Cricetulus griseus: one gene and its partners. The protein of the gene in region 3 purifies or fractionates together with the protein of the main gene of each other region. This does not show direct contact. Links are inferred from orthologs where the notes say so. Each region holds a gene or a part of one and is shown on either strand. Other genes may lie near its edges.

Region 1 (4,204 bases), on a different chromosome or scaffold from region 3:
CTGCACAGATGGGGGTTAGAATGTCTTCCTGTTAGCCACTTTTACTCTCCCTCCTTTTTGGTGCTGAGAAATTGATCCCAGGGTCTGGCGTATGCTACTCACGTGCTCTACTATTGCCACCACCTACATCCTCAGCCCTTCACTTTCATTTAAGCATTCTAGCAGCCAGGGTCAGATGCATCTCACCAGGTGGGGGTGGTTGACACATACCTTTAATCTCAGCACTTGGGAGTCAGAGGCAGGCAGATCTCTTAAATTCAAGGCCAATTTGATCTACAGTAGAAGGAGTTCCAGGAGAGCCAGGGCTACACAAAGAAGCCCTGTCTTGAAAACAAAGATGCATTTCACTTTAGTGTTTGTGGGTGTGGTACTGCAGTACTTTACAGTTCAAGCTTAGTGGTATATATATACAGACTGCTGGATTTGTACAGCTAGTGTTAGCACCTACCCCCACTGTTGAGTGTGCAGTAGTACTGTTTTCTGTTTTGATTTCATCTGCTTTTTTGGTTTGGTGTAAGGATCAGATACCTGAGCAGGGTACAATAGGAGGGACACCTTAGAACAGTTGGTTAGTTCAACCAATTCTCCTTAGGCACTTTAGAGATAGAAGGGCCTCATGGCTCAGCCAAGGCCACAGACTGGTTTCCTGATAATCACAGAACAAGCTGGTGAACCCACCTGATAGCCTTTCCATTTCATTATCGTCACTGTGGTCAGCTCTCATATCCTCTCTTGTTCCTGAACCTACGAGACTGACTCATGTGCCTGACTGGGGATCTGTAGCACTTCCCCTCCCACCTCCTTGAATAAATGTGTATCTCTTAGCACTGTAGTCTGTTCTTCATTGTACTGCCTTGAAATAGGCCTCGTTAATATACTTCATTAAGGCTACAACTGCTGAGCAGACTTTGACTGGGATAGTAGCCATCTGCTGTTGGTCTCATTGAGTCCAAGTGAAAGGGAGTAGGGGGCGGACAGCGCTGAAAACTGTTTTGTCGAGGATCCAGTTGTACAGAAAGGAACTGACCTGAGGATGTGGGAGTACCTGAGCTCCACAAGGCAAAGGATTGGAAACACCCACCCTCCGCTTCTACTCGCAGGGTGAAATAAAAGATTGAGGTGCAGGTCTGGGGTGAAGTGAAGGCAGATCGCATGCCACCACTTGGCAAAGAAAGAGCTGTGCTGTCAAGAAGCAAGCCCATCTTTGTGGCTGCTTAATGAATATTCACAATTCTTCGGGCCAATCAACGCTGGAATGGAACGGAGCATGCCAACTAGTTAACCCTAGACCAATAAGCGTCGTCGGTGGGCGGCCTTTCTTAAAACTGACTTAATAGGAACCCTTAACCCTAAGAACACGGTTTCTGGACGAATATGCTGGCGCCGGACACAAGCGTCACTTCCTGCAGCACTGGCGGAAGTGGCTTCCCCACACATTGCGATTTTGAGCTGTGAGTTCTGGTAGTGACTGGTGGCGGGAGAGGTTGTAGGCGGCCCATACCGGAGAATCGCTATGGAGGCGGAGGATTCGGATGTCGTATCGCTGCCTCGTGGTCGCTTTCGCTGCTGTCTCTGCGACATTACTACAGCCAACCGTAAGCGGTGGCTAGTGAGGGAAGGGGGAGGTTGCAGGCTTTCACTTTTTAGGTGCTAGTGAAAGAGTTATTTAGGTTATAGTTTTTGCTGGCACTAGGGTCATCCACCTCTGTTTTCACTCAGTACGTCCCAGGGCATTCGGAGAGTGGGGAAATTCTCACCGGTTCTTCTCACAATGCAAAAGCTCCATAGTGAAACTTTCACTATTCCTTTTAAAACATCACCTTTGTGATGTTTTAAACATCACATGTTTTAAAACATCAGCTCTGTGCCTGGTGCTTTACTGGTCTCTGGAATCAGGAAGGGAGGGATTCAGGAATTCACTGTCTGCACTGAGACAGTTTCAGTACACCATGGGTATGTTTACAGAGCTGAAGCATCACAGAGAAGGCAGTAGTTCAATTGGAGACTCCCAATGGGGAGGATTTCTCCAGAGGCGAGGATGAGTGAAACATGGTGGCCTGAGTGAATGCAGAAGGTGCCAGTGAGGAAAAGGGTTTGGAAAGACAGACTGAGATTTTGTGACACCAAAAGACACTTAGTGACATCTCAGATCCTACTTTTGATGTCTAGAATGTGATCTCCCCTAAACAGGGTCTTCTGGTATTTTCTTTGTGAATGACATTTCCCCTTCTCCCCTCCCCCTGCCCCATCAGGGCAAGCCAGGAATTTAGGACAGTGCCTTGTCCCTGTACTTTCATGGCACTAAGCAGCTGATGATAAAATAATACTAATAGCTAATTTCCCACACTTACTACATACCAGATGGCCAGAGCTGTTTGTGAATGATACCTATGTGGTAGGCGAGATCATTTCCATCATATATGGGAAAAGGATACATTTGGAATACCTGCTATTTATCTCTGAGGATTAGTCAGGGCCCTAATTTATTTACTTCTACATATGACCTTGGACAAGTTGCTTGTTAATTCCTCTACAGTGGGCAGATGTCGCTCTGCTTAACACATACCATTGGCTTAAGAACTACCTGCACTGCAGCCCTCCCTCTTGGAAATCTCTTAGAGAATGCACTGTGTGGACAAAGGGGAAGAATATCAAACTCTGTCCAAATGTTACCCTTTGTCTTTGAAGGAACAGGGTTTCTATGTATAGAGAAGAGAGCAAGGGGACAGGTATACAAAGAGTTACTTTATATGCTTATGTCACACGCACACTTGTCTCTACAGGACCCAGCCTAGATGCCCACTTGAAAGGCCGGAAACACCGGGATCTTGTACAACTACGAGCTACCAGAAGGGCCCAGGGACTTCGAAGTGTGTTTGTCAGTGGCTTTCCCAGGGATGTGGGTGCTGCTCAGCTTTCGGAGTATTTCCAGACTTTTGGCCCTGTGGCCAATGTTGTCATGGACAAGGACAAGGTAGAGTGAGTGTCTTTGGGATTAATTTGTCAGATGGATTTGCCTTATATAAAAGAGAGAAACCAGCAGCCTGTTTTGGCAGTTTCCTAATGTGGCTCATCCTTGGTAGACATTTCAGAACTTGGAATAGCTTAGTTTTGGGAGCTTCTGCCACCTTGGATTTAATCCATTCACAAGAGTTAATTATGGAGGACTTGTTTACCAAACATTGTGTCTTTTTTGTTTGTTTTTTTCGAGACAGGGTTTCTCTGTATTGCTTTGGAACCTGTCCTAGAACTCGCTCTGTAGACCAGGCTGACCTGGGATTCACAGAGATACACCTGCCTCTGCCTCTTGAGTGCTGGAGTTAAAGGCTTGGCCAAGGCTCGTGGGGGCTGGAGAGATGGCTCAGCGGTTAAGAGCACTGACTGCTCTTCCAGAGGTCCTGAGTTAAATTCCCAGCAACCACATGGTGGCTCACAACCACCTTGAATGAGATCTGGTACCCCCTGTTGGCATGCGGGCAGAAGACTGTATACTAAATAAAAAAAAAAAATAGTAAAAAAAAAAAGGCTTGGCCAAGGCTCTTGACCTATTGCCTGCTAACTGCCATCCCTCCCCCCCCCCTTTTTTTTTTTTCCTTCAGTTCTAGGGGATTGCACATGGGACTTTTGAATGCTAGGAAAGTGGCCTCTGTCTATCTCCAAACCATCCTCATAGCCTTTATCAATCACTTCTTGTGTACTGGTGAGACAACTGCAATTGTGTGTATATGATATGACATAAAAGTCCACATTGTTTTGCTTATGACTGTCCAGTTGTCCTAGCATCATTTATCTATAAGCCCGCTCTTTCCTCACTATTATGTTGAAAAGTAGTTGACTATATGTACACAGTGTTCTGCCTGCGTGTATGTCTGCATGCCAAAAGAGGGCACCAGATCTCATTGTGAGCTACCATGTGGTTGCTGGGAATTGAATTCAGGACCTCTGTAAGAGCAGCCAGTGCTCTTAACCTCTCGGCCATCTCTCCAGCCTGGCACTATTTTCTTAATTACTTTATAGACTGCCTTTTTATAGGAACAGATGATATAAAAGGACATGCACTTTTACCCATAAGCACTCATGTTTGCCTTGCTCCTGCTAATGTTTTACCTTAAAAAAAAAATTATCTCACTGGCAGTTGTGGCACAGGCCTTTAATCCCAGCACTCGGGAGGCAGAGGCAGGCCTGGTCTGCAAAGCTACACAGA
Region 2 (3,500 bases), on a different chromosome or scaffold from region 3:
ATGCTGGGGAGGTTTCCAAGTCCCTAGTGCATGCTTCAGCCCCTCCTTTCTGATCCAGCCAGCTTCAGCTCCAGTCTTCCCTAGCTCTGTGACTTACAGACGGGTGGGTGCCCTCTCTCATCCACATTCCTTCTTCCCCTTCCTAGTGATGGGACCAGTGGAGGCAGCCCCCGAGTACCGAGTCATTGTGGATGCCAACAACCTGACCGTGGAGATAGAAAACGAGCTGAGTGAGTGATGGGGACAGCCCTGTTGTGTGCCCTTCCCTCTTTATGACGCAAAGGGAAGAATAGGCATGAACCTGGACCTCTTCTGTTTGCCTTTCTTCGACTACTGCCCTGACCAGGTTTACCTTCTGTAACAGACTGATTTACATGAAGAGAAAGTGTATTCTCCTTCCTGAAAGTCTAAGTAAACAGAGCAGGTCTAGAGTCACCCTTTGACCCCTTCAGCCACCAGACTCTGCCACTGGTTTCATGCTCCAGGGTGATTGCCTCATTTCACGTCCCTACCAGCAAATGGGGAGGGAAGACAGGGCATGGCTGCTTCCTTAAGGCCATGGTCTGGATGTGGAAAATGCCAATTGAGTTCACATCTTGTAGACATTAGAACAGACTTCATGCCTGCACATAGCCCTGGGGACAGCTAGGAAATGTAGATTTCATGCTGGCATCCATGCACCAACCCAAGATTTGGGCTTGTTCACTAGAGAGGCGGAAGTGGGTGTTGGGGATAGCAGCAGAGTCTGCCTCCCCCTCCCTCAGCGGACACCCACCCTCCCTGTCCACTTTAGACATTATCCATAAGTTCATCCGGGATAAGTACTCGAAGAGATTCCCGGAGCTAGAATCCTTGGTTCCCAACGCTCTGGATTACATCCGCACAGTCAAGGTGAGTGGGGAGGAGTCTGGTCCCGGAAGCAGCGTGAAGCCTCGGGATCTAGAAAACGATGGAGAGGCGTGAGCCGGGGCTCAGTGGGAAGGGACAGGTGCCGGACAGGGTGTCTCACACACACCTCTGGCTTCTCTCCTCCCCTTAGCTTGTGGGAGGATCCCCATTGGCCTGGCCCTTGCCTCTGGCTGTCATTGGGTCAGGTGTCCTTTGAACTAGCCTCTGAAGGCTGGCAGAGGCCGCAGCGAGATAAGAGCTGAGATCCTGAGTGGGAACAAATGAGGAGGAAGTGAGAAGAGGCAGGGAGGGGAGCTTGACAGGTCAGAAAGGTCAGAGCACATCACACACAGAAGGTTTGGGCTCCCCTGGGAGCAATGACAGGAGCAGGCAGAGGGGAAAGAGCAGGGGTCCTGCCTCTGTCCAGGAGGTCAGGGTGGGAGCCGAGGAAGTCCGTCTCTAGTCGTGAGCTCCCGCAGGCTTCTTTAGTGCAGCGTGTCGTCCTTGAAGGCCACTTTGCCCAGCTTCCACTTCTGGGTCAGCAGAGCAGGCAGTGCTGATGCTTTCAGCAGTGAAGTTGTCAACCTGTAAGAGGCAAGAGAGGTCTCCAGTATTAGCTTTCCCGGGTTCCTCAAGGGAGCCCTGTGTTCGTGTTGAAGCAAAAGAGCTTCTAGAATCTTCTGGGAGTTACTACGGTCTCTCTCTTTCTCCCCTTCCCACCCCAGGAGCTGGGCAACAGCCTGGACAAGTGCAAGAACAATGAGAACCTCCAGCAAATCCTGACCAATGCTACCATCATGGTCGTCAGTGTCACCGCATCCACCACCCAGGGGTACGTATACCACGCGGTAAGGCGCTGCAAGCCTACCATAGGCCAGCTGGCAGCAGAGACCAGAAAGGGCAGAATGGGGTTGATGGTGAGGGTGGTGCTGGCTGAGAGCTGTGGTCCCTAGGCTGATAGAAGTTGGGGTAGCCCCAGAGTTACACAGACACACACGCATACAGAACCGAGAGGATGGGTGGGGCTGGACACCCGTTAGACAAGCGCGCAGCAGAACTGGGCGCCGGCCCCAACCCTTCCCTGCTTCCCAACTCAGGCAGCAGCTGTCGGATGAGGAGCTGGAGCGCCTGGAGGAGGCCTGTGACATGGCCCTGGAGCTGAATGCTTCCAAGCACCGCATCTACGAGTACGTGGAGTCCCGGATGTCGTTCATCGCACCCAACCTGTCCATCATCATTGGGGCATCCACAGCTGCCAAGATCATGGGTGAGTTCCCAGCTGGGTCCCATGGTCTGGGGTTGTCCTGGGGAAGTGGGGCTTGACATTAGGGGCTCTATTACACTGTCATCTGGAGACTGAAGTCAGCCAGCTTGGCATAGCAAATGATAAAAGTGTAGCAGCCCCTTCTGAGTACAGCTGGCTGAAGAAGGAGCCTCCTCCCGCCAATGGGTCCATTTTGGACCCTGGGGCATCCACAGAGTAGTAAAGTCAGCTCCTGACCCTCGGGCTTTCCTACTGGATAGGGCAGCAATCCTGTCATGTGCTAAGTTCCTCCTCCCAGAAGCTCCGGTAGCCGGAGTCCTTCCTTGCAGGGAATGCTCGCTCACAAAGGGAATGTGGGGAAGCCACCACCTTTGGTCCCTTAGCTGTGGTCTTGAGGACTACAGGCCAGGACACTTACACTCCCGAGGGTGCTGTTTCAGAGTTGACAAGTCTGAGACCAAGGTGCTTTTGGGGTTGGTTTCTCCCTCAGCCTCTGCTTGGCTCGGGCATGCCTTCTGTATTTTCATGCAGCCATGCTGCTGTATCTGCAGCCTCATCTCCCTTCCTCACAAGGATGCCAGTCAGATAGAATCGGGATCCGTATGACCTCATCTTATCTTTGCCCTCTCCTTAAAGATTCTATGACCTGGGCCAGAAAGATGGCCCAGCAGGGAAAAGTCCTTGCCACCCAAGCCTGACAGCCTGAGTGTGATCCTCTTAACCCACACGAAGGTGGAGAGAGCTAGTCCCATAAGTGTCCTCTGCTTTCATGCACACACACATATAAAAATAACCTAAAGCGGTGAATAACTGATACTGAATCCAGAAGGTTAGGATAACTTTTAATAGATAAACGCCAACCAACAGCAAGCCAGAGGGTGCCAAAGCAGCAAGGCGAGAGAGCTCCCATGTGCCTTGTCTGTCCCTTTAAAACCACCCTGACATCACCTTGACCACATCCTGAAGGGCGTGGTTACGGTGTCTCCCTACAGTAACCTGCCCCCATACACACACATACACATAAATGATCCTGTAGCCTTCCAGACGAAGTGGCTTAGACCAGTAATCCCAGTGTTTAGAAGGCTGAGGCAGGAGGATTGCTTTGAATTTGAGGTCCTGAGCTACAGAATACTGTCTCAAACCAGCAAACGAATGAAGGTGCAAAATTGTCTTAGTCACCGTTCTACACTGTGAAGAGACACCATGGTCAAGGTAACTCTTCTGGAAGAAAGCACTTAACCAACCCAACCTGGGGCTTGCTGACACTTTTAGAGGCAAAAGCTATTATCGTGGTCATCATGGCTTGGTAGCAGGGAGCATGGCAGCAGGCAGGTGTGGTGCTGCAGAA
Region 3 (3,500 bases):
AATAAGTATCTAAAAAAAAAAAAAAAAAGAGTATGGCAGTCTTGTTGGAAAAAAGATCTGGGGCTTGTGGTGGTCAGTGTCAACTCCACAGAACCTAGAATCAGCAGGAAAAAGGGCCCCTGGACCTGCCTGTGATGGGTAAACTCGGCTACATTCATTGAGGTGGAAGGCCATCCCACTGTGGGTGGCGTGGTCCCAACTGGGGTCCTGGGCTGTGTGATGGACAGGGCACACACAGCATCTACTCTACTCTCTTCTCTCAAAGTCCTGTGGTGGCTGCTCTAAGCTCCTCAACCCTGAATGCCCAACTTGCTGGCCTGTGCCTTCTCCCCTGAGTGTTTGTCAGAACATTCATCACAGTAACAGAAAAGAAACTGAAACAGGGCTTATAACAGGTCAGACACAGAAAATGAGAGGTTACCGTGGCTACCAGGAACTAGCACAAGCACAAGAGCTGTCATCCTTTCCACACCACAGTGTGAATTCAGTTGGAAATTGCTAGTTTCCACAAAAAATGTTCTAAGGGCAGGTCATTCACCAACCCTTTCCCAATCTCAGCGTGCTTAAAGAACAGGGACATATCTCCAAGGATGTGCTCAGAAAAAGAATGGCAGCTGGAGGATGGGGGAGGATGATACAATCATAAGGTGCTTGCCATGCCAGCCTGAGGACATGATTCCCAGCACCCAAGTAAAAAGCCAGTGAGGCGACATGCCCCACTGCTAGGAAGGTGGAAACAAGCAGATCCCTGGTACTCACTGACAAACCAGCCAAGCTAAAGCTTAGCGTCAACCCATGACACACCCTGTCCCAAAAATCAGTGGATGACTCCCAAGGAACAGAACCCAAGGCTCATCTCTGACCTTCACACATGTACCTTCGAGAACACACATGTGCTTGTGCGTAGGCGCGCGCGCGCGCGCACACACACACACACACACACACACACACACACATGCACACACAGGGAGGTGGGGGGACATGATGACTAAGTCCAGTTCTGATGAGGCTCACACTCTACCTTGTCTGAAGTCAACCCTTCTCCTTAGGTAATCTAGGTACACCTGCCAAATCTCCACATAATCAGTGGCCTGGATAAAGCCAGCACTCAGAGCATTCTCAAAGGTTGCTGCAATGGAAAAAACACAATATTCACCAGACAATTCAAAAAGAAATAAAGCCATCAAAACCCATAAATATGTGGTTTATGCACTTATAAACGCACAAGCTGTAGATGTCTATCCCAGCATCACACATCAAGGAAGGAAAAGAATAGAAGCAGTGTTTGCAGGGTACACCCCTCCAGCCCTGTGCTCTAGGAGGAACTCTTCTTCCATAGTGAGAGTCCCAGTTGGACAAGACAGTTCGTGACTTCTAAGAAATTCACTGAGTATTAGAAGCTAAAGTGCTAAGAAGCCATATAGCCTTTGCCACTACAAGGCAGGCCCTGGGGTACTGGCTCAAGACTGTTACAGCTCTGTTCCTCACTTGGGACAAAAGGCTAGAGCTGCCAGGCATGATGGCTCATGCCTGTCATCCCAGCAAGCCTAGGCTCCACAGCGAGCTGCATAGAAAGAACATTCCAAAAAATAATTCAGAAATTCTCCCACACAAACATTCACACCAGATATCATTTGATGGTCCACTCCATGTCTCTCCATGGCCAAGAGGTACCGACTCCACAGGCCAACTGTCCACGGGCAGTTCCTCACAGCACGGCTGTGTACAGATAAAACCAAATCCTTTACTTTCAGCTGCCGATCCTGTGACAAAGAATCCCAGAGTGAGAGGACAGAATTGTACGACTTCCTCAGTGGTAGAGACTGAAACACCCTGCACAGGCTCAGGTTCCAACACCTGGTACCAGCTGCTGTTGGCACTGTTTTGGGAGGTTGTGAAACTTTGGGGAGGTAGGCTCTACCTGAGCAAGTGGGTCAGTGAGAGGTGAGAGCCTTGAGGATTATAACTCAACCCCACTCCTACCCTGTACCCCACTCTCCAATCCCTGACTGAAATCGCTGCTGCCAGAAGCATATCACCACATCCCCACACCGTCATCACCACAGCCCCACACCATCAAGGGCTGCATCCCCTCAGCCTCATCCCTTAAGCTGCCTCTGTCAAGTACTTGGTGGTGGATGAGAAAAGTGAGACACTCCCAGAACAGCCAACTGATGGAAGAGATTCCTTTGAAACATCTCTTGTAAAGCTAAGAATGCACAAGGTATGCCCTGTCATCCCAGCACTCAGGAGGCTATGCTGTGGAATATAGTTTAAGATGTGAGATGTGTTACATTCATTTATGCTGTGGAATATTTGTTCAATGATACAAAGTTGCATTGCATTCTTTTATGTTGCATTTGTTTAACTCTGTGAAGCTGTGTTACTGTGCCTGTCTAAAACACCTGATTGGTCTAATAAAAAGCTGAATGGCCAAAAGGCAGGTGACAGAGAAAAATAGGCAGAGTTGGCAGGCAGGAGAAATCTAGGCTTGAAGAGAAGAGGGAGGATTGAGAAAAGGAGGAGGCGAGGATGCCAAAAGCCAGCCACCCAGCCAGCCATGGAGTAAGAAGGAGGGAAAGACATATAGAGTAAAGAAAGGTAAAAAAAAAATAAAAATAAAAAAAGGCCAGAGGCAAAACTTAAAGAGAAACAGGATAATTTAAGTTAGAAAAGGTGGCTAAAAACAAGCCAAGCTAAGGCTGGGCATTTACACGTAAGAATAAGTCTCTGTGTATTTATTTGGGAGCTGGGAAGCCGCCCCCTCTACGCCTGGGGTAGGGTGGGGCCAACTACAAGTCTAAAGCAGGAGATTCACACATTTGAGACCTGTCTCAAAAGAAATGGAGACAAAAACATACATAAAAGAATGCCATGGCCTGACTTCTTCAAGGAAGAAATCACCAGAGGAATGCAAGATAGGCAGAGCGGGGGAGGTGGCAGTCCAAACTGTCCCACAGACACAACCCTGATGGATGAGCTTCACCCGGGCCCTTTCACACAGAAGGACATTTCATGTACACGCTGAGGCAGCAGTGAAGAACAACAGGGATGGGACAGTAGAGATACAACGAAGCCAGCCACACAGGCTGTGACTGCCGCTGAAAGCCAGCAGTGGTGTGTACGGGAGGCTTCACTTTAACCATCTCTTTCACGTCTAGCTTGGCAGACACAGAACTGAGGCACAATCTTACTAGGTACCGACTGTAGCGGATCCATAAGTCTGGGACCAGGCAGTTCTCCACCAAGGCGCGCTCGAAGATCAACTGAATACGAGCAGGATCTCCAATTTTCATCTCAAAATCGATGTACGCTTGGTATTCTGCCAGCCTTGGGGCCTCTGCTTGCAACTGGAGTGAGGAAAATCACACTCGTTAATCTGGATGCTTGACACTCTCAGAAATCATCTTCAAGTAATTCAGCGTTGGCAAGAGCAGATAACCCCAGATGAGAGCCACCAGGACTTCTTCCTCAGAACTGCCCACGACAGGACAAATTTG
Region 4 (4,144 bases), on a different chromosome or scaffold from region 3:
AACAAGGTTAGAGGAATAAATTACAAACTCCTGGGCATATAAACAACAGTTAGAAGTCACTGAGCAGAATAAGATTAATTCATTCAGCAAATAATTATTGAGCCTTTATGCTAAGCAGTGATCTAAGCAAATAAAACACTATACTCTAGTGGAGCTTACATTCTAATGGGGTAATAAAATAACTTAAGAATATAGACAGTAATCATCTCTTATCCCAGTCTATAGGTCTGAAAATATTAAATGGAAAATTCTAGAACTAAGCATTTAATGTTCTAAGTCATGCACCATTGTGACTAGCATGAGGAAATACCATATTTTTGCCCTAACCACAAATCTTCCCTTTGTGTAGGTTTCCACACTGCATACGCTACCCTCTCGGTAGCTAGAGGGATCATCAGATCAACTGACCTGCGTTGCAGTGTTTGTGTTCAGGTGGTCCTTGTTTTGTTAATAGTCCTAAAGCACTTAATTAGTGATGCCGGCAATTCAAAGGTACCCAAATATGCTTTCTTTAAGTGGAAAAGCACAAGTTCACTGAAGTATACATATGTAGAAAAAATACAGCATATTCAGGGTTTGGTACTGTGACTCGGAGAAGGTACTGGGAGTCTTGGAAGGTAACCCCTCCAACAATGAGGGGACTACCGCTTAGCATGTCAGATAGCAATCAATATTAAAGACAAAAAATGGGAAGGACTCGTTTCTTATCTATCTATCTATCTATCTATCTATCTATCTATCTATCTATCTATCTATCTACCTACCTACCTATCTATAAAGAGAAAGGACGATCAGGGAAGTCCTCACCAGGACAGTGTTATTTCAGTCTAAACATGAAGAGGAAAGGGCGAGACAAAAGCAAATGCAAAGGTACAGATGAAAGAACATTTCAAGCCTTAGGGGAAAATCAGTAAGAGTGAGTTCTGTGAGTGAGTTCACGAGAGCGCTGGGTTCAAGAACTGGAGTAGGGGAGGGGTTCCGGGGAGAGAAACACGCCACCCTCGCGGAGACTAAGTTGGGAAGGTGTGTGTCCAACGAGGATCCAATGCTTTCAAGGGCGTTCAGTTTGATGTTTATTACCAAATATGATGGTGTACGCCCGCGTCGGTACTAAGGATGCTATAGGTAGGAGGATCGGAGCTTAAGACCAGCCTGGGCGACACAGTCTCTAAAACAAAACAAAACGAGAGGGAGAGCTCGATAAAATTAAAACGAAGAAAAAAAAAAAAAACCAAAACCACACACACCAAAAAAATCAAAACAAAAACAAAACCCCAAACAAACCGGCCGCAGTCAACACCTTTCCACGCCCTAAACTGCTACCAGGGCCCGGAACTCCGGGGCGGAGGCCGAGCCGGAAGTAGCCTCACGAGGGGCGGCACTTTGCGGGCTGCATTTCCGTTAGCGGCGGCGGGAATCGCGCTGCTGGCTGGCGACTAGGCCTCTGTGGAAGCGAATCCGGCGGGCATCTGAGACATCGGAGCCGCCACCATGGTAAGAAGGCGCGGGCTGGCCGCGGGGCGCTCAGGGGTGCGGAGTGGGGCGGTGGCTGGCGGCGGCCGTGGGTTGAAGCCGCCCGTGGCCGACAAGGTCGGGGTCGAAGCCGCTTAATCCGGGCGCCAAAGGCCTGGACTTGCGGAGCGGCTGGGCCCGGGTGGAGGGGAAGGCTGCACCGGGGACCGAGGCCGCCGTGCGTGGCCCGGCGCCTCTGCGGTTACAGTTCCGCGGCCTCGGTAGCTGGAAACGTGTGCCGGGTCGCTGTGTGCCCGGGCTCCCGGAGCGGACGCGAGCCTCCGGCCGACCGGGGGACACCGGGCCGGACGGAGGAGAGGCGGAGGGAGCGGGAGGGTGGAGGAGAGTGTTTGCATGCAGAGCGCGACCCTGCTACGCGTATTTTTATGTTGGGGTATGTCAGGCGCTGGGGCTGCACCCTGAAATAAGTTGTGCGTTGGTTCAGTTTCTGGCTCTGTGCAGGGCTAATGTGATTCTCTATGGCAGTTCGGCTTTAGGCAAAAAAGTAACGGCAGGGGGAGGGGCGGGACGGGTCCAGAGCAGACGCCCAAGTGATTGTTTAGGAGCGCCCCGCTCCCCTGTACGAGGGAGGGTTAGAAATCTGGAGAACCGAGAGGGCCCAGTAGAAGGCAACGAATTGTCAGGAACCTGGTTGCTGAAGTCCCTGCATCTTGTTTTCCCTCTTGGTAGTAAGACATCGCTGGAAGAGTTTTCACAGGCTTCATGGACTTAGGTTTAGAAAGGTCAGCCGGGAAAAGTGGCCAGTGCTCGAAATTTGTAATTTCTGTGCATAGTAGGCAGAGGAGCTTGAATTTTGAAGCCAGTTTTGGCTACAGAGCAAATGTAACAAATGCCTCGAATGTCTCCAAAAATATTAGTCTAGTTAAGTAGCTGAAGAAACCCGAGGTAGCGAAAATAGGTTATTGTTTTTGAGAGTTGACTGAGACAAGTCCTTACTTAACCTTCAGCTTGGGTCGTCTATTTGGTCAGTAAAAAGGAATGACAGTGGACCCAGTTTTGAGGATTAAAGGAGATAAATCCTTTTCAAGGGCCTAGCCATACATAGCTATTAAATATTAGCTATTGGACCGATATACGCCGATCCTAGTAACAGAGCTCTTTGAGATGATTATTTAAGCAGAAAAAAATACAAAATCTGGTTTTCAGGTTAGGGCTGGGTAATGCTCACAGGGGTGAACAGCGTTCCTGGTACAGAGAAGACAACTTGGGTAGTTAAAAGTGACATAATGCCAGTTATAGTTGTGGGTAACTGATACGTTTCTGAGAGAGACTACCACAGATACCTCTGTTCACCTAGGGGTGTGTATAAGCGCCTTTATTTTTGCAAAGTTACATTGGGAACCAGGATAGAGAATGTTGTTTGCCTTAATTAAAAATTAGACTATTATATTATATATATATATTAGACTATTAAGTATCCAAACTAATTAGCACTCTGGCCCAGAAAAGTTGCCCAAGTTACCCTACTCCTGTTCTTGCTTCAGAGCTGGTTTCACTTTCTGGTAATAAGCTTTTCCTTAATTAAGTGAATCCACTTAGTGCCTGTTGAATTCCAGTTCTTAGTTTAGATGGATTTAGTTGTTCGTAGAACTGAGTCTATATAGTGGTGGATGGCTTAATGCCCACTAGGTCTAGTATGGGTGGATTTGATTAGTTTGTGAACACTTTAACTCTCCTGAGACAGATACAACATAGACAAAGTTGTAGTCCCAGGGAGATTGCCTGTTTTAAGGGCAGGGAAAATAGCACATTAATGGGCAGAAATCAAGGCTAAAGCTGGTTGATAAGAGTCTCAGAAAAGGACCTTGTTTGGAAGATGTCAGGAAATTGTTGAGAAGGTTGGGAATAGAAAAGTAGGCTGTGGTGGAAGATGGGGGCGGGGAGCAGAAGTGTGTGAGCGAGTCCTCCCTGCTCCCTCTTTGCAGACTGTGGGTAAGAGCAGAAGTGTGTGAGTGAGTCCTCCCTGCTCCCTCCTTGCAGACTGTGGGTAAGAGCAGAAGTGTGTGAGTGAGTCCTCACTGCTCCCTGCTCTCTCCTTGCAGACTGTGGGTAAGAGCAGCAAGATGCTGCAGCACATTGACTACAGGATGAGGTGCATCCTGCAAGATGGCCGGATCTTCATCGGGACCTTCAAAGCTTTTGACAAGCATATGAATTTGATCCTCTGTGACTGTGATGAATTCAGGAAGATCAAGTAAGGAGAGGGCTGTTGGGAGGGAGAAGGAACTGGGATGGACTGGATGGATGGGCGGGCCAAGAGTGGGATGGCCATTCAGCTAGGTGCTCTTGTTTGCTCACTTGCTTTTGAAGGGAGAAACTTAAAGGGGAATGTTAGCTGCTAAGGAATCTCTTCCTTAATCCAGAAAACCTTGCTCTCCAATTCTAGCAAAGTAGAAGTTGGTGAGGAGGGCTGCTAGGCTTTTAATTTTTCTGAGTTTGCATGCCCCTGGGTACTGGGGTAAAGGGCTCTCATGTTCTCCCCACAGGTGTGTGAGGGGGGAGAGCTTGATTTTCTGGCCTCATTACCTATTTGTAAAGCTGTAGCCTAAAGGGCTCTCCTATTGCAGCCTGGTCTGAAACTGCTTTAAGAAGCCTCTGACCCTCTTCAGGG
Region 5 (4,024 bases), on a different chromosome or scaffold from region 3:
TCGTATGGGACAAAAAACTATGATGTATACAAATGAAGAAACATTTATCTTTTTCTCAGGAGGCTTAGCACAACCAGGGGTTGATATAATCAATACAAAACACTGGCCCATGACATTTCAAATTATTTTATTCTAAATCAGCTACCACCTTCTACCAGATCCCTAAGTAAAGAAATGGAAGAGGAATCCAGCTCCAAAGAAAAAGGAAGAAATAATTAGAAGAAAAGTTTTCTACTTGTGTACACACTGAAAGCCTCAACACTAGAGGGCGATATTGAGTGCGGGTTAAAAGAACTGCTCTCCACCCGCTACTTTAGTAATCCTACTACACTATGGCTCCAGAACGACGGGTTAGCTTCATTTCTCACAATTATTTATTTTATGTACTCTGTTGTCTCGTGACTTGAATGACTAAAATAGAATATGCTCCTTGCGCATAATTTAGCATTTAGTAAGCAAAGCATTCGAAGAGAAAGTGTCCCTATGATTGCATTTGTTTGGGGAAGAGGCTTAAGAGTGGGAGTGAGTCTGTCCAGTTCAGCAAACACGAATATTTTGGCAATCCCCACAATCTTCATGTAAGGATAAAAAGAAAACCTTATCTCCGATGGCCTAGCATCAGTGGAGCGAGAGCTGCTGGTATGCACTCTCCCTGGCGCCTCCCTGGCCCCTTTATCTCAAAGACCACATACAAAGAATACGGTTGTAGACAAGTAACCCAACAACAAAGTAGGCCGCAGCTCCCCCGCCACGTCTTTATTTTAGTCCTAGAAGACTCTTCGAGTTTAATGTCTTCTTGAAGCCCAAAGTCACTGCGAAGCCACGCAGTTACGAGGGGCCCCCGGGAAGACTTCCGTGCCGACGTGGACAACAGTCCGCTTTCCCAGCTCCTAAGCTGCACTAGTCTAGGGAGAGATTTCCATGGCAACACAGCCCTCGGCTGCGAGATGACGGAAGGTCTCCCGAAGGAGAGCAGAGACCCTCGGTTCGCTCATGATTACAGTCGAGATCCACGAACCTACCTCTTTTCAGGCCTCTGCAGCTTCCCAGAACCTCAACTCCCACCATGAAGCCATTGCTGTCCTGCCCGAACTACACTTCCCAGGCTGCTCTGAGCCTCTCTTCCCACACGCCTCTTCTCCCGCGAGCTTGTGGAGACGCTCTATGAGGCCACGCCCCTCGACGCCAGCCGACGTTGGGCAACTACGACGACCAAGATACTTCGCGACTACCAGAGCACAGAGTACGCTCCTGGTACGTTTCCGGCCAGTGACGCACTTCCACTTTGCTGGGCGCGCGGTGGACGGTCTGAAAAGGAGAGCGCGGATTTGGTTAGGGCCTCGAGGCTCCAGAGCCCAGCATGGCCTCCTCACGAGCCTCTTCCACGGTACGGGGCTCCGGATCGCAGCTCAGGCCGGTCCTCTCCCAGAGAGGGCGGGGTCCCCGCGGGAAGGGGCCGTTACCTCGAGGGTCAGGGCGGAGGAGGAAGGCTGAGGGACCCTAGTGTGGAGCAGCCTTTTCCTGACTTCTAAACGCTTTCGTGTGCTACAGCTCTTTTTGCACCACTCTCACTTCAGCCCCGAGCGGTGAACACTGTCTCTAACTGCTCCAAAACACGGTGCTTAGAAGTGGAGACATGTCTTGACTTAAACTGTATGACTCGGGACTTAACGATGAGGCCTCCCAACTTCTAATCCGCTCTGGAAGTATTTGAAATGTGTATTCCAGTAACGTGGTGCACCGAAAGCCACCCTGATTGTTTAGGTTATTCTTGGTATTTGTCCAGTGATGGGCAGTTATTTTTGTAAAACCGGAGATTGCATTTCAAATAAAATAAAGTAAAAGGGCCCCAAAGCAAACCAGATACTTCAAACAGAAATTGATTCGTTGTATTTGTCTGCCAAACTTAACGAGAGTCTAAACTCGCACAAAATCAATCTTGACGGATACCCACCTTGTCCTTTAGCTTTTGGAGAAAATAAAATGAAAGCGTTAGTTTCATTCGTTTGGGAAGCATGGTTTACTAGGACCTTAACCAGGGTCTTTGATTTAACAGGCAACTAAAACTAAAGCACCTGATGATTTAGTTGCTCCTGTTGTGAAGAAACCACACATCTATTATGGAAGCTTGGAAGAGAAAGAGAGGGAACGTCTGGCCAAAGGAGAGTCTGGGATTTTGGGAAAAGAAGGACTCAAAGCAGGCATTGAAGCTGGAAATATTAATATAACCTCCGGTAAGACCCAAATTGTGAATCATCTTTACTTTTTTTTTTTTTTTTTAACTGCCAGGGACTCCAACACAGGGTTTTTTTGCATGCTAGGCAAGTGTTCCACCACTGAACCACACATTTGGCTAGTCAGTTGCCTTTGAACTGCCTTCTGCCTCCTCCCGGGTACTAGAACCACGTCTACACTGCCCTGCACCTTTAATGATCCAATTTTCAGATGAACACCTTCCCAGACCAAGTAACATTAAGATTTATAGGGTCAAAACCTTCGATTCTTGGCCTGGGGGTCTACTTCAGGTGACAAAAGGTTTGCTGTGCAACCATTAGGGCTTGAGATTGATTCCCTGGAACCATGTTTTGTTTGGGGGACAGGGCTGAGGGGTTGGAGCTTTAGCTCAGTGGTTGAGCACTTGCCCAGCAAGCACAAGGGTTAGTCCTCATCTCTGAAAAAAACAAGGCAAAATAACAAAAAGGGGCTGGAGAGATGGCTCAGTGGTTTAGAGCACTAGCTGCTCTTCCAGAGGTCCTGAGTTCAATTCCCAGCAACTACATGGCAGCTCATAACCATCTATAAAGGGTTTGATGCCTTCTGACATGCAGGCATACATGCAGATAGAGCATCATATATAAAGTACATAATTAAATTTTTTAAAACTGAATGTGGTGGTAATCCCAATGTTGAGGAAACATTGACTTCCACATCTGCTCATGCACACATCCGTACTCTTCTGTTCTTACCATGGAGTCTTTGGCTTTCGCTTCTTGGCATTATCCAGAGCGTGTTTTTCTTATATTTCATACAGTTCCTGATACAAGTTACTGATGATCTTTGAAAACTTCAGTGGGTGTTTTGATTCATCAGTTGTATTTGTCTTTGGGAGATGTAGAGTAGTTCTGGCATTGATGCATGACTCAAGCTGTTTATAGTATTCTCTCCTTTACTTTTCTAGTTTGTTTCTTTGTGTCTTTACCTTTCAAGACAGGGTTTCTCTGTGTAGCCCTGGACTGCTCCTGAATGCTGGGATTAAAGGCGTGCACCACCATTGCCCAGCTTTCTAGTTATATTTTTTTTTCAAACCTAGATTAAAATAATGTTTTTTAGTATGAAGGGACAGTAATTTTAAAAGATTTTAAAAAATCAACATGTGTCTCTATGAGGTAGAAAATCTATATTGTGAATTGGATGTATTTCTTCTATAAATGGTACCATGATGTGTAAATTGTTTTATAGCCTACATTTTTTCCCTTGTATACTGTTGAGGTTTGTCTCTTTATATTACCGTCAAGAAATGTATTGATTAATTTTGGTTTTTGAGACAAGATCTCCACTATAGCTCAAGCTGGCCTAGAAGTTGTGGCAGTCTTTCTACTGTGCCCTCCTTGTACTGAATAACAGATGGGAGCCACCATGCCCAGCTTAAGAGTTTTATATTTTAAAAATAAAGTTATGCATATTTGTCATAAGCAATTAGATTAGCACAGAAAGGTAAAGTTTAGTGATGAGTACTTGCCTGGCATGATGGCACACACCTGTCATCCTAGCACTCATGTCCTGAAGGCAGGAAGGTCACAAGGACAGGGAGCATCCTAGGTTGCATAGCTTGAGCTGATCCTGTCTACACACCACTCAGGAGGTGGAGACAGGCTGTAATAAGGTGGAGTAGAGACAAGATCTGAGCCCTTTTGGACAGAGGAAGGGGACTGCTAGTTCTCTGATCTTCCAGCTTTTACCCCACTATCTGGCTCCTGGGTTTTATTGATTAAGATTAATTGGATTTACACTTCAGACATATTTA
Region 6 (3,500 bases), on a different chromosome or scaffold from region 3:
CTCCTAGAGATCCACATTCCTCTGCCTCCTGAGTGTTGGGGTTAAAGGTGTGTACTACCCTCCTTACTCCTTATTTATTTATTTGTTTGTTTATTTGTTTATAAGACAGGGTTCAGTGGTGCCCAGCCTGGCTTCCAAATCAGTATGTAGGGGAGGATGGCCTAAGATTTATGATTCTCTTTCCTCTACATCAGTGGTTCTCAACCTGTGGGTTTTGACCCCACAGGGGACACATAACAGCTGTGTCCTGCACATTATAATTCGTAACAGTAGCAAAATTGCACTTATGAAGTAGCAATGAAATAATTTTATGGTTAGAGTCACCACAACATGAGGACCTGTATTAAAGGAAGGTTGAGGACCACTACTCTACATCCGGAATCCTGGGATTATAAGCATGTATCACACCTGACTTTTGCAGTCCTGGAGATGGAGGAAACCAGAATCTAGACAAGCATTGTACCAACTGAGCCATACCCTCTCTCCTTATTTTCCCTCTGTTATAATGGGAAGAGCTTAAATAACCAATTTTTCTCTCTCTCTTTATTATTTGTGGCACGTTAATAAATCAGTCTTTGGCCACCATCCCAAGTCACCTAAATCAAGTTTGCTTAGGAAGCACTGTTCAGTCAAATAGCCTGATCCGATTGATGCCTTAGAGTGTGGAAGTCTAATAAGATGCATGAAAAGGTACAGGGAGGTGGGTTTGCTGGTAGTTGCCTTTGATTTGTTGTGTATGAAAAGTTTAAATGATGTGATATTTATCTTTTAGGGTGCTGGGGACCCAAGCCTTTGTGCCTATCAAGCAAAGTACTCTTCCAAAGAGCTACTTTCCCAGCCCTCATCTTAAACTTTGAATTTTAATTTAAGCAGATTTATCTGGCTCTACTACTTTGTGCTCCAAAAAAAATTAGAACCTTTTACCTCATATAGCAGGGTCATTAAGTATATCAGGAATTGGGAATTCCGAGAAGAAAACTATTTACTTAGTTATGAAGACAGGATTTCACTATTTAGCTCTAATTGGCCTCTGTCTCCTGAGTACTAGAACTAAAGACATAATGTGTCTGAAGCTATTTTATTTTATTTATTTATTTTTGGTTTTTTGAGATAGGCCTTCTCTGTGGCTTTGGAGGCTGTCCTGGAACTAGCTCTTGTAGACCAGGCTGGTCTTGAATTCCCAGAGATCCGCCTGCCTCAGCCTCTGCCTCTCAAGTGCTGGGGTTAAAGGCTTGAGCCACCAATGCCCACCAATGCCCGGCTTTTATTTTACTTTTTATGTGTGTGTTTCATTTACATTTATGTATACACCCCAGAAGTGTGCAGCTAGCTAGAAAGAGTTCAGTCCCCTAAAACTGGAGTTGCAGCATACAGTTGTGAGCTTCCATGTGGGTACTAGGAATCAAACTTAGGTTCCTGGAAAAGCAGCCAGTGCTTTTAATTGATAAAACACCTCTTGAGCCACTACAATTTTAAATTTGGGGGAGGGGTATGTGAGGGAAGATAAATTTATGTGTGTGTGAGGGAAGGTGCCCTCAGAGGCATTAGATCCCCCCGCCCCCCAGGTCATAGGCAGTTGTCAGCATCTCATTGTGGATTCTGCATAACAAACTTGGGCCCTCTGCAATAGCAGTATGTGCTCTTAACCATTTCTCTAGTCCTCTACAAAGAAGTTCTTAAAATGTTTTTTTACATGAGCTAGAGAGATGGCCCAGCGGTTAAGAGCACTGTCTGCTTTTGTGGCAGACCCAGGTTCAATTCCCAACACCTACATGTCAGCTCACAGCTGTCTTAATTCCAGTGCTGTCTACTGTCCTCCTTGGGCGTGCAGCATGTAGTGACATGAATAGTCAAAACATAAAATTACAGCCGGCTGTTGGTGGCTCATGCCTTTAATCCCAGCACTCAGGAGGCAGAGGCAGGTGGATCTGTTTGAGTTCGAGGCCAGCCTGGTCTCCAGAGTGAGTGCCTGATAGGCTCCAAAGCTACATAGAGAAACCCTGTCTCGAAAAACCAAATAAATAAATAAATAAATAAATAAATAAATAAATAAAATAACAATACCTTAAAGAAATGAAGAGTAAAACCTTTTTCCCTTTTATTCTAGTCTGTTGTTTATTACATGTTTGGTATTGAACTGTATACTTTTACCTCTTCAATCTGTGGCTTCTTTTTTCCTGTCAGATCACCTGAAACCTTTTCTTGATGATTCTACTCTCCGATTTGTGGATAAGCTGTTTGAGGCTGTGGAGGAAGGTCGAAGCTCTAGACATTCCAAGTCTAGCAGTGACAGAAGCAGAAAACGAGAACTAAAGGTAGGTTACGGTCACTATATAATAATAAGCTCAGGAGTGTTTGGAATAAGAAATGTGCTGGCATACCTGCTTACACTTTGACATCTACTATTAGAACACCTAGTGTGAGGGCTACGGTTAAAATTCAGTAATAGAGAGCTTAGTGCTTGTCCAGCATGCATGAGGTTCTGGGCTCAATCCCAGTACTGCAACAAATAGAGTTAAAAACAACAACAAAATAGAACACCCAGTGTTCAAGAGGGAGCCTCAGACATTAAAGTAGAAGGGTAGGATTTATATTATCTCCATCACCCTGAACCTTTCTCAAAAAGGTTCATTTAAAATAGTCCAAGGAAGTAATTGATAGCTTGTCCTTTCTTTATTCATACATTTTATTTTCACCATTCCCTCTTTACCTACTACCTATAAATTGATTGATCTAAGAATCTTGGTCTACTTAAAGTCTAGTAAGTTGATTCATCATATCTCCACTGCTTCCTGACTGTGGACCTTAGTCTTGTTCATTAATAAAGATTTCTATTTAATATACTTGTAGATAAGATGCCTGAAACTAACTGCCATATAGTCCACATTTGTTGTATGTGGTTACTGGCTCCATGAGTGGGATGTGTGAAAGAGTTAGAAATACTCCCTTTTCTGCTAAGTACTTATTTTGTGGTTACAGTATAGTCATGGTCTTTTTATATATGATCTTATCTCAGTTCCCCAATGTAGCCCATTTCTCTGTCTGACTTTCTTTTGCCTCTTTTGGGTTTTTGGTTGGTTTGTTCTGAGATAGGGTCTTACTATATAGCTAGCTCTGCCTGTCTTGGACTGTGATTCTCTGAGTGCTAGGGTTACAAGTGTGTACCACCATGATCAGCTTGTTTTTGTCTTTAATATGTTTTCTTTTGTTTATGGATTTTTTTAAAGATTCATTTAAAATTTTTATTTATGTATGTGTATACACACAGATGACCATAAAGGTCAGAAGAGGGTGTCAAATCCCTTGGGGCTTGAATTACAGGTAGTTTTGAGCAACCATATATATACGTGCTAGGAACCACACTAGTCCTTGGAAGAGCCATACTCACTCTTAACCTCTTAATTATCCCTCCAGCCCTTGTTTTGGGTTTTTGAGACAAGATCTTGCCACCAAGCCCAGGCTGCCCTCAAACTCAGGTTCTGACCCAGCCTCCTGAGTGC
Region 7 (4,112 bases), on a different chromosome or scaffold from region 3:
AGAGGCTCTCCCCTGAACCTGGGGGTTCACATTTTCTCAGCTAGCCCGTGAACATCCTGTCTCCACCCTCCTTGAAGCTGAGATTACAGCTTTTTTAATAATAAGTAGAGGTGGGAATGAAAGGGTCAGGCATTATGCTGGCCTGCCCATTACCTGGTGGAATCCACTCAGGCAATACCCTGGTCAGCCCAAGGTTCCATGGGAAAGAAGTCTGCACGCAGGTGCAGAGGACCCCTTTAAAAGATAGGCCCCTGCACCTTTACGCTCTGTCTGTCTCTCTCTCCCCGTTTCTCTGTTTCCCCGCTCTCTCTCTCTATGGCGACCGGCCATGGCGGTCAGCCATTACCCTGTTCCTCTTCTTAGTCTCCCCATTCTACCGGGCCTTATAATAAACTTATAGTCAATATGTCTGTCTCAATATTTCTCTTTTCTTCTTTTTAAACAAAAGAATAACATGCAGGATACCCAGTTTGTCGCATGGGTGCTGGGATGCCCTGATCCTCCTGAACCATCTGTTCAACGCCAGTTCCAAAAGGATATGGCAAACCATGTAGGTAATCCCAGCATTTGGGACGCTGAGGTAGGAATATCGTTGAGCTCAAAGCCAGCCCTTGATAAGCAGCAAGACTGTCTCAAAAACATTTAAGGTGAAAAAAAAATATTTTAGAAGAGACAAAACTCGAATCAAGGCCTTAAAGGACGTAGCAATCTAACGTCTCCACAACCGAGCCAGAAAGGGTAAAGAGTGGTAGGCAGGAGATGAGGCTAGGTAGTGTGAGGTCTCTACTTTCAGGTCTTCGCTACCAGCGGTGGCAAATAAATGGCATTCGGGCCTTCGTATACACAGCTGGATTTACGTTAAATATGCAAATCCCCCACACACGATTTACAAGCACAAAGGTTGTTTCTTAAACTGCAACTCTGTGGGAAATGAGTTGGAAGCTTGCGACAGAAATGAAATCACATTTCCAGGATCCCGAATGAGCCAGCCTACGTAACATTTTACAACACGGAGGGTGATTCTGAGGGTTCTCCCCTCGTGGGTGCCGCCTCGGGGGCAGGGGACACCCAGTGTGACGGCTCAGCAAATGCTGTCTGCCGGTCACTCATTTGTACTGCACTAGTACAGTCACGCGAGTAGGGAGCCCGCCGCCTTCGGCGAAGATGCCTGCACTCCCTCGCTTCTGCGCCTTCTCCCCTCATCCCCGCCTTCCCTCAGAACCGACCCGCTCTACAACACCAGTGTCCGCCTTCCCGGCGGTCCGCGCCGCGCTTCCGGGGGCGGGGCCCAACCCCGGTCGGTTTCCACGGCCCCTGTGCTTTGGCTGAATTCAGCAAGGCCGGTCCCCGGAAACTGGACTTCTACTTCCGGGTCAGAGCCATGGCGGTGGCAAATTCAAGTCCAGTCAATCCGGTGGTCTTCTTTGATGTCAGCATCGGCGGCCAGGTGAGGTGCGGGAGGCCCGGCGGACCTGCGCGGCTGGGCAGGACACGGGTGAGGGAGGCAGCCGAGACTGGCTGGGCCAGGGCGGCCGAGGTGGGCGCTTCCGAGCTGCGTGGGCTGCGGTCGTGGACTGAGCCTTCTTGCGTCTCCCGTCACTTGCAGGAGGTTGGTCGCATGAAGATCGAGCTGTTTGCAGACGTGGTGCCTAAGACGGCAGAGAACTTCAGGTGAGGAGATGCTCCACTGAATCAGCGTGGCTGAGCCCGAAGCCGGCCTCGGGGCGCTCTTTGCAATGTCTGCCTCTGTCCATCCGTCCACTGCCTTGTGCTCTGTGCTCTGTGTATTATTGCACTGGCCGAATAGCTACCGGGTTTGACCGTTCCTGTGTCAATTTGTGATATTAGTTTACATGGCTGCATGCCCTGACATCCGGCCGACCAGTTAGTGGACTTGCTGGCCCCACTGTTTGTACCCTCATCTCCCGATATTAGAGATGCTCCGGGCAGCGATGGCATGGTAACTGTTCATTGTTTCTTTCCTTTTAGGCAATTCTGCACTGGAGAGTTCAGGTCAGTCTCAGATGTGTTTGACCTCTATTCCTCCTACTCCTGAAGGGTGTCCTGGAGGTTTGGTGAGGGTATTGGGGAACCATGGGCAAGTCTTGAGTGGTGGAAGATGATATTCAGAGGGTGTCTTCTTTATCGATGCGTTCTTTAGCTTGCTTCTATCCAAATCTTTCTGAGAGTCCTTTTAGCCTCCAGTGTGTCCCAAACGGAAAGGACCCATGGTTATTTGTCATCACTCCAAGTCTTTCTTTTTGGTTACAGAAAAGATGGTGTTCCAATAGGATACAAAGGAAGCACCTTCCATAGGTAAGGCTTTTGGCAAACTGTTAATGCAGTCATCACTTGGTATCTGTGCAGGCAATCCTGAACACCTGAGTACACCTATGGTAGATTAGGTTTGTTGTTTAAAGTGTCATGTCCAGGGCTGAGGATGTAGCTTGGTGGTAGAGAATTTTCCCAGCATACCTGAGACCCTGGGTTCAATACTCAGCACCACAGGCACCGTAAGTCATCCTAGATGTAGAAATGATGGCAAGGAAAACACTATCAGTTGGGTGCAGGTGCAGTTCCATAGGCTTCTATACCCAGCTTTTATGTGGGTTCTAGGGATCTGAACTCAGGTCCTCATGCCTCATTAACAAGGACTTTACCCACTGAACCATCCCCCTGGTTCCAGGTAGAGGCTTTGGTAATAATTACTATTATCAGGCAGTCATCTGCAGGAACCTGACCTTCTTGAATGCCTTGCTTTCTGTGTTTACCAATTTTTGTTAGGGTTTGACAGAAGTTGTTCCACTTTAATCCTGAAATTTTTGTGTCATCCATATCAGGGGCTTTAGAATTATGGTCTTTAATCCTTCCCAGCATCCTTGTGAGGTAGTATGTGTAATCTGCCTTCTTTAAGGAAGGAAACTGGGGCTAAGAAAGGACTATGCCTGGGTATATAACAGCTTACATTACCCTGTGTGTGTGTGGCAGTCCATTTCACATATATTTGCTGTTGTTCTTTCTTTCCCCCCAGATTTTCATTAAGCCCTTGACTTTTTTTTTTTTTTTTTTTTTTTTTTTTTTTTGTAAATATGTTATTTCTTCCTGACAGGTTTCAGCCCTTTTCTGTTGTTCAGGTGCTCACTCATATACCTTAGATCAACACAAAGATGCCCCTGGAGCTTAAAACAAGTTATGGTTCGTAATCCCTCATCTTGCTCAACTCCAGGGGTGAAGACTCAGTCTCTAAGCCACGGTGATAAACATTGTACTTCAGAAAAAATTACTAAGCTGCTATGTTGGTGACCAAACCACTGAATCCTTCCCTCGGGAATTTTTTGTTTGTTTTGTTTTTACTCTGTTTCAGGGTCATAAAGGATTTCATGATTCAGGGTGGAGATTTTGTTAATGTAAGTACTGCTGTTTTTTCTTTGCTATTCTTCCTATAGGGCTCCAGTCTTGAGATTTAAGAATAATAGCTAAGTTAAATGGAGAGAGCATGGACTAGGGGATGCACTGTAGAATTGCTGGTACTGCTGACTGTGCCCTTAGAACATATACCAATACTAAACTTGAATCATTAACTCCCATTGTCCAAACCTGAGCTTTTTTGTTACCAAAAATTGGACTTTGCTAGTCTACCTATAGACAGATGATCTAAGACCACATTCTTTGACCACAGAAAACTTTGAAATTAGCTGCAGCCCCCCTCCCCCACAGGAAGTGAGCCAACTGCTTGTATGCCCTATTTTTCCTTCCACTTCTGGTGTCCCTCTCTAAAATTGTAGTTTTTTGTTTGTTTTTGTGGTCTGTCTTTTTTCCTTTTGAAAGCTGAGGGGTTTTTTTGTTTTATTTTGGTTTTTGTTTTGTTTTGTTTTTTGTTTCTCAAGACAAGGTTTTTCTGTGGTTTTGGAGGCTTGCCTGGAACTAACTCTCATAAGACTAGGTTGGTCTCGAACTCAAAAAGATCCGCCTGCCTCTGCTTCCCGAGTGCTGTGATTAAAGGCGTGCGCCACCACCACCTGGCTGATAACCACAAGCCAGTTAGTGGCAAGGGGTCAGGAGAGGCAGGCAATTCAAAGGGTGTTTGCTCTGCTTGCTGAGGTAGCCCAAGG

What was found.
Region 1: the proteins of squamous cell carcinoma antigen recognized by T-cells 3 (region 3) and Tut1 purify together in Homo sapiens (co-immunoprecipitation; 4 studies listed by BioGRID and IntAct, counting the BioPlex papers as one, with this or other methods). This does not show direct contact. The link is inferred for Cricetulus griseus from reciprocal best matches to the Homo sapiens genes SART3 and TUT1.
Region 2: the proteins of squamous cell carcinoma antigen recognized by T-cells 3 (region 3) and Prpf31 purify together in Homo sapiens (affinity purification with mass spectrometry; 6 studies listed by BioGRID and IntAct, counting the BioPlex papers as one, with this or other methods). This does not show direct contact. The link is inferred for Cricetulus griseus from reciprocal best matches to the Homo sapiens genes SART3 and PRPF31.
Region 4: the proteins of squamous cell carcinoma antigen recognized by T-cells 3 (region 3) and Snrpb purify together in Homo sapiens (co-immunoprecipitation; 4 studies listed by BioGRID and IntAct, with this or other methods). This does not show direct contact. The link is inferred for Cricetulus griseus from reciprocal best matches to the Homo sapiens genes SART3 and SNRPB.
Region 5: the proteins of squamous cell carcinoma antigen recognized by T-cells 3 (region 3) and Prpf4 purify together in Homo sapiens (affinity purification with mass spectrometry; 5 studies listed by BioGRID and IntAct, counting the BioPlex papers as one, with this or other methods). This does not show direct contact. The link is inferred for Cricetulus griseus from reciprocal best matches to the Homo sapiens genes SART3 and PRPF4.
Region 6: the proteins of squamous cell carcinoma antigen recognized by T-cells 3 (region 3) and Prpf3 purify together in Homo sapiens (affinity purification with mass spectrometry; 5 studies listed by BioGRID and IntAct, counting the BioPlex papers as one, with this or other methods). This does not show direct contact. The link is inferred for Cricetulus griseus from reciprocal best matches to the Homo sapiens genes SART3 and PRPF3.
Region 7: the proteins of squamous cell carcinoma antigen recognized by T-cells 3 (region 3) and Ppih purify together in Homo sapiens (affinity purification with mass spectrometry; 3 studies listed by BioGRID and IntAct, with this or other methods). This does not show direct contact. The link is inferred for Cricetulus griseus from reciprocal best matches to the Homo sapiens genes SART3 and PPIH.

The regions. Positions count from the first base shown.
Region 1 is NC_048596.1:51,140,779-51,144,982, reverse strand, and holds the start of Tut1 (speckle targeted PIP5K1A-regulated poly(A) polymerase), read left to right. Parts: upstream 1-1,404; 5' UTR 1,405-1,513; coding exon 1,514-1,595; intron 1,596-2,783; coding exon 2,784-2,974; intron 2,975-4,204. UniProt on the Homo sapiens protein: Poly(A) polymerase that creates the 3'-poly(A) tail of specific pre-mRNAs. Localizes to nuclear speckles together with PIP5K1A and mediates polyadenylation of a select set of mRNAs, such as HMOX1.
Region 2 is NC_048602.1:21,549,712-21,553,211, forward strand, and holds part of Prpf31 (U4/U6 small nuclear ribonucleoprotein Prp31), read left to right. Parts: intron 1-146; coding exon 147-230; intron 231-793; coding exon 794-891; intron 892-1,613; coding exon 1,614-1,720; intron 1,721-1,985; coding exon 1,986-2,155; intron 2,156-3,500. UniProt on the Homo sapiens protein: Involved in pre-mRNA splicing as component of the spliceosome. Required for the assembly of the U4/U5/U6 tri-snRNP complex, one of the building blocks of the spliceosome.
Region 3 is NC_048597.1:93,400,529-93,404,028, forward strand, and holds part of squamous cell carcinoma antigen recognized by T-cells 3, read right to left. Parts: intron 3,351-3,500; coding exon 3,195-3,350; intron 1,764-3,194; coding exon 1,625-1,763; intron 1,130-1,624; coding exon 1,022-1,129; intron 1-1,021. UniProt on the Homo sapiens protein: U6 snRNP-binding protein that functions as a recycling factor of the splicing machinery. Promotes the initial reassembly of U4 and U6 snRNPs following their ejection from the spliceosome during its maturation.
Region 4 is NC_048599.1:48,439,467-48,443,610, forward strand, and holds the start of Snrpb (small nuclear ribonucleoprotein-associated proteins B and B'), read left to right. Parts: upstream 1-1,344; 5' UTR 1,345-1,491; coding exon 1,492-1,494; intron 1,495-3,575; coding exon 3,576-3,727; intron 3,728-4,144. UniProt on the Homo sapiens protein: Plays a role in pre-mRNA splicing as a core component of the spliceosomal U1, U2, U4 and U5 small nuclear ribonucleoproteins (snRNPs), the building blocks of the spliceosome.
Region 5 is NC_048595.1:83,460,714-83,464,737, reverse strand, and holds the start of Prpf4 (U4/U6 small nuclear ribonucleoprotein Prp4), read left to right. Parts: upstream 1-1,224; 5' UTR 1,225-1,360; coding exon 1,361-1,387; intron 1,388-2,056; coding exon 2,057-2,234; intron 2,235-4,024. UniProt on the Homo sapiens protein: Plays a role in pre-mRNA splicing as component of the U4/U6-U5 tri-snRNP complex that is involved in spliceosome assembly, and as component of the precatalytic spliceosome (spliceosome B complex).
Region 6 is NW_023276806.1:60,654,367-60,657,866, forward strand, and holds part of Prpf3 (U4/U6 small nuclear ribonucleoprotein Prp3), read left to right. Parts: intron 1-2,183; exon of another isoform or gene 2,184-2,184; coding exon 2,185-2,315; intron 2,316-3,500. UniProt on the Homo sapiens protein: Plays a role in pre-mRNA splicing as component of the U4/U6-U5 tri-snRNP complex that is involved in spliceosome assembly, and as component of the precatalytic spliceosome (spliceosome B complex).
Region 7 is NC_048595.1:32,848,356-32,852,467, forward strand, and holds the start of Ppih (peptidyl-prolyl cis-trans isomerase H), read left to right. Parts: upstream 1-1,312; 5' UTR 1,313-1,381; coding exon 1,382-1,447; intron 1,448-1,606; coding exon 1,607-1,671; intron 1,672-1,989; coding exon 1,990-2,013; intron 2,014-2,271; coding exon 2,272-2,316; intron 2,317-3,364; coding exon 3,365-3,407; intron 3,408-4,112. UniProt on the Homo sapiens protein: PPIase that catalyzes the cis-trans isomerization of proline imidic peptide bonds in oligopeptides and may therefore assist protein folding. Participates in pre-mRNA splicing.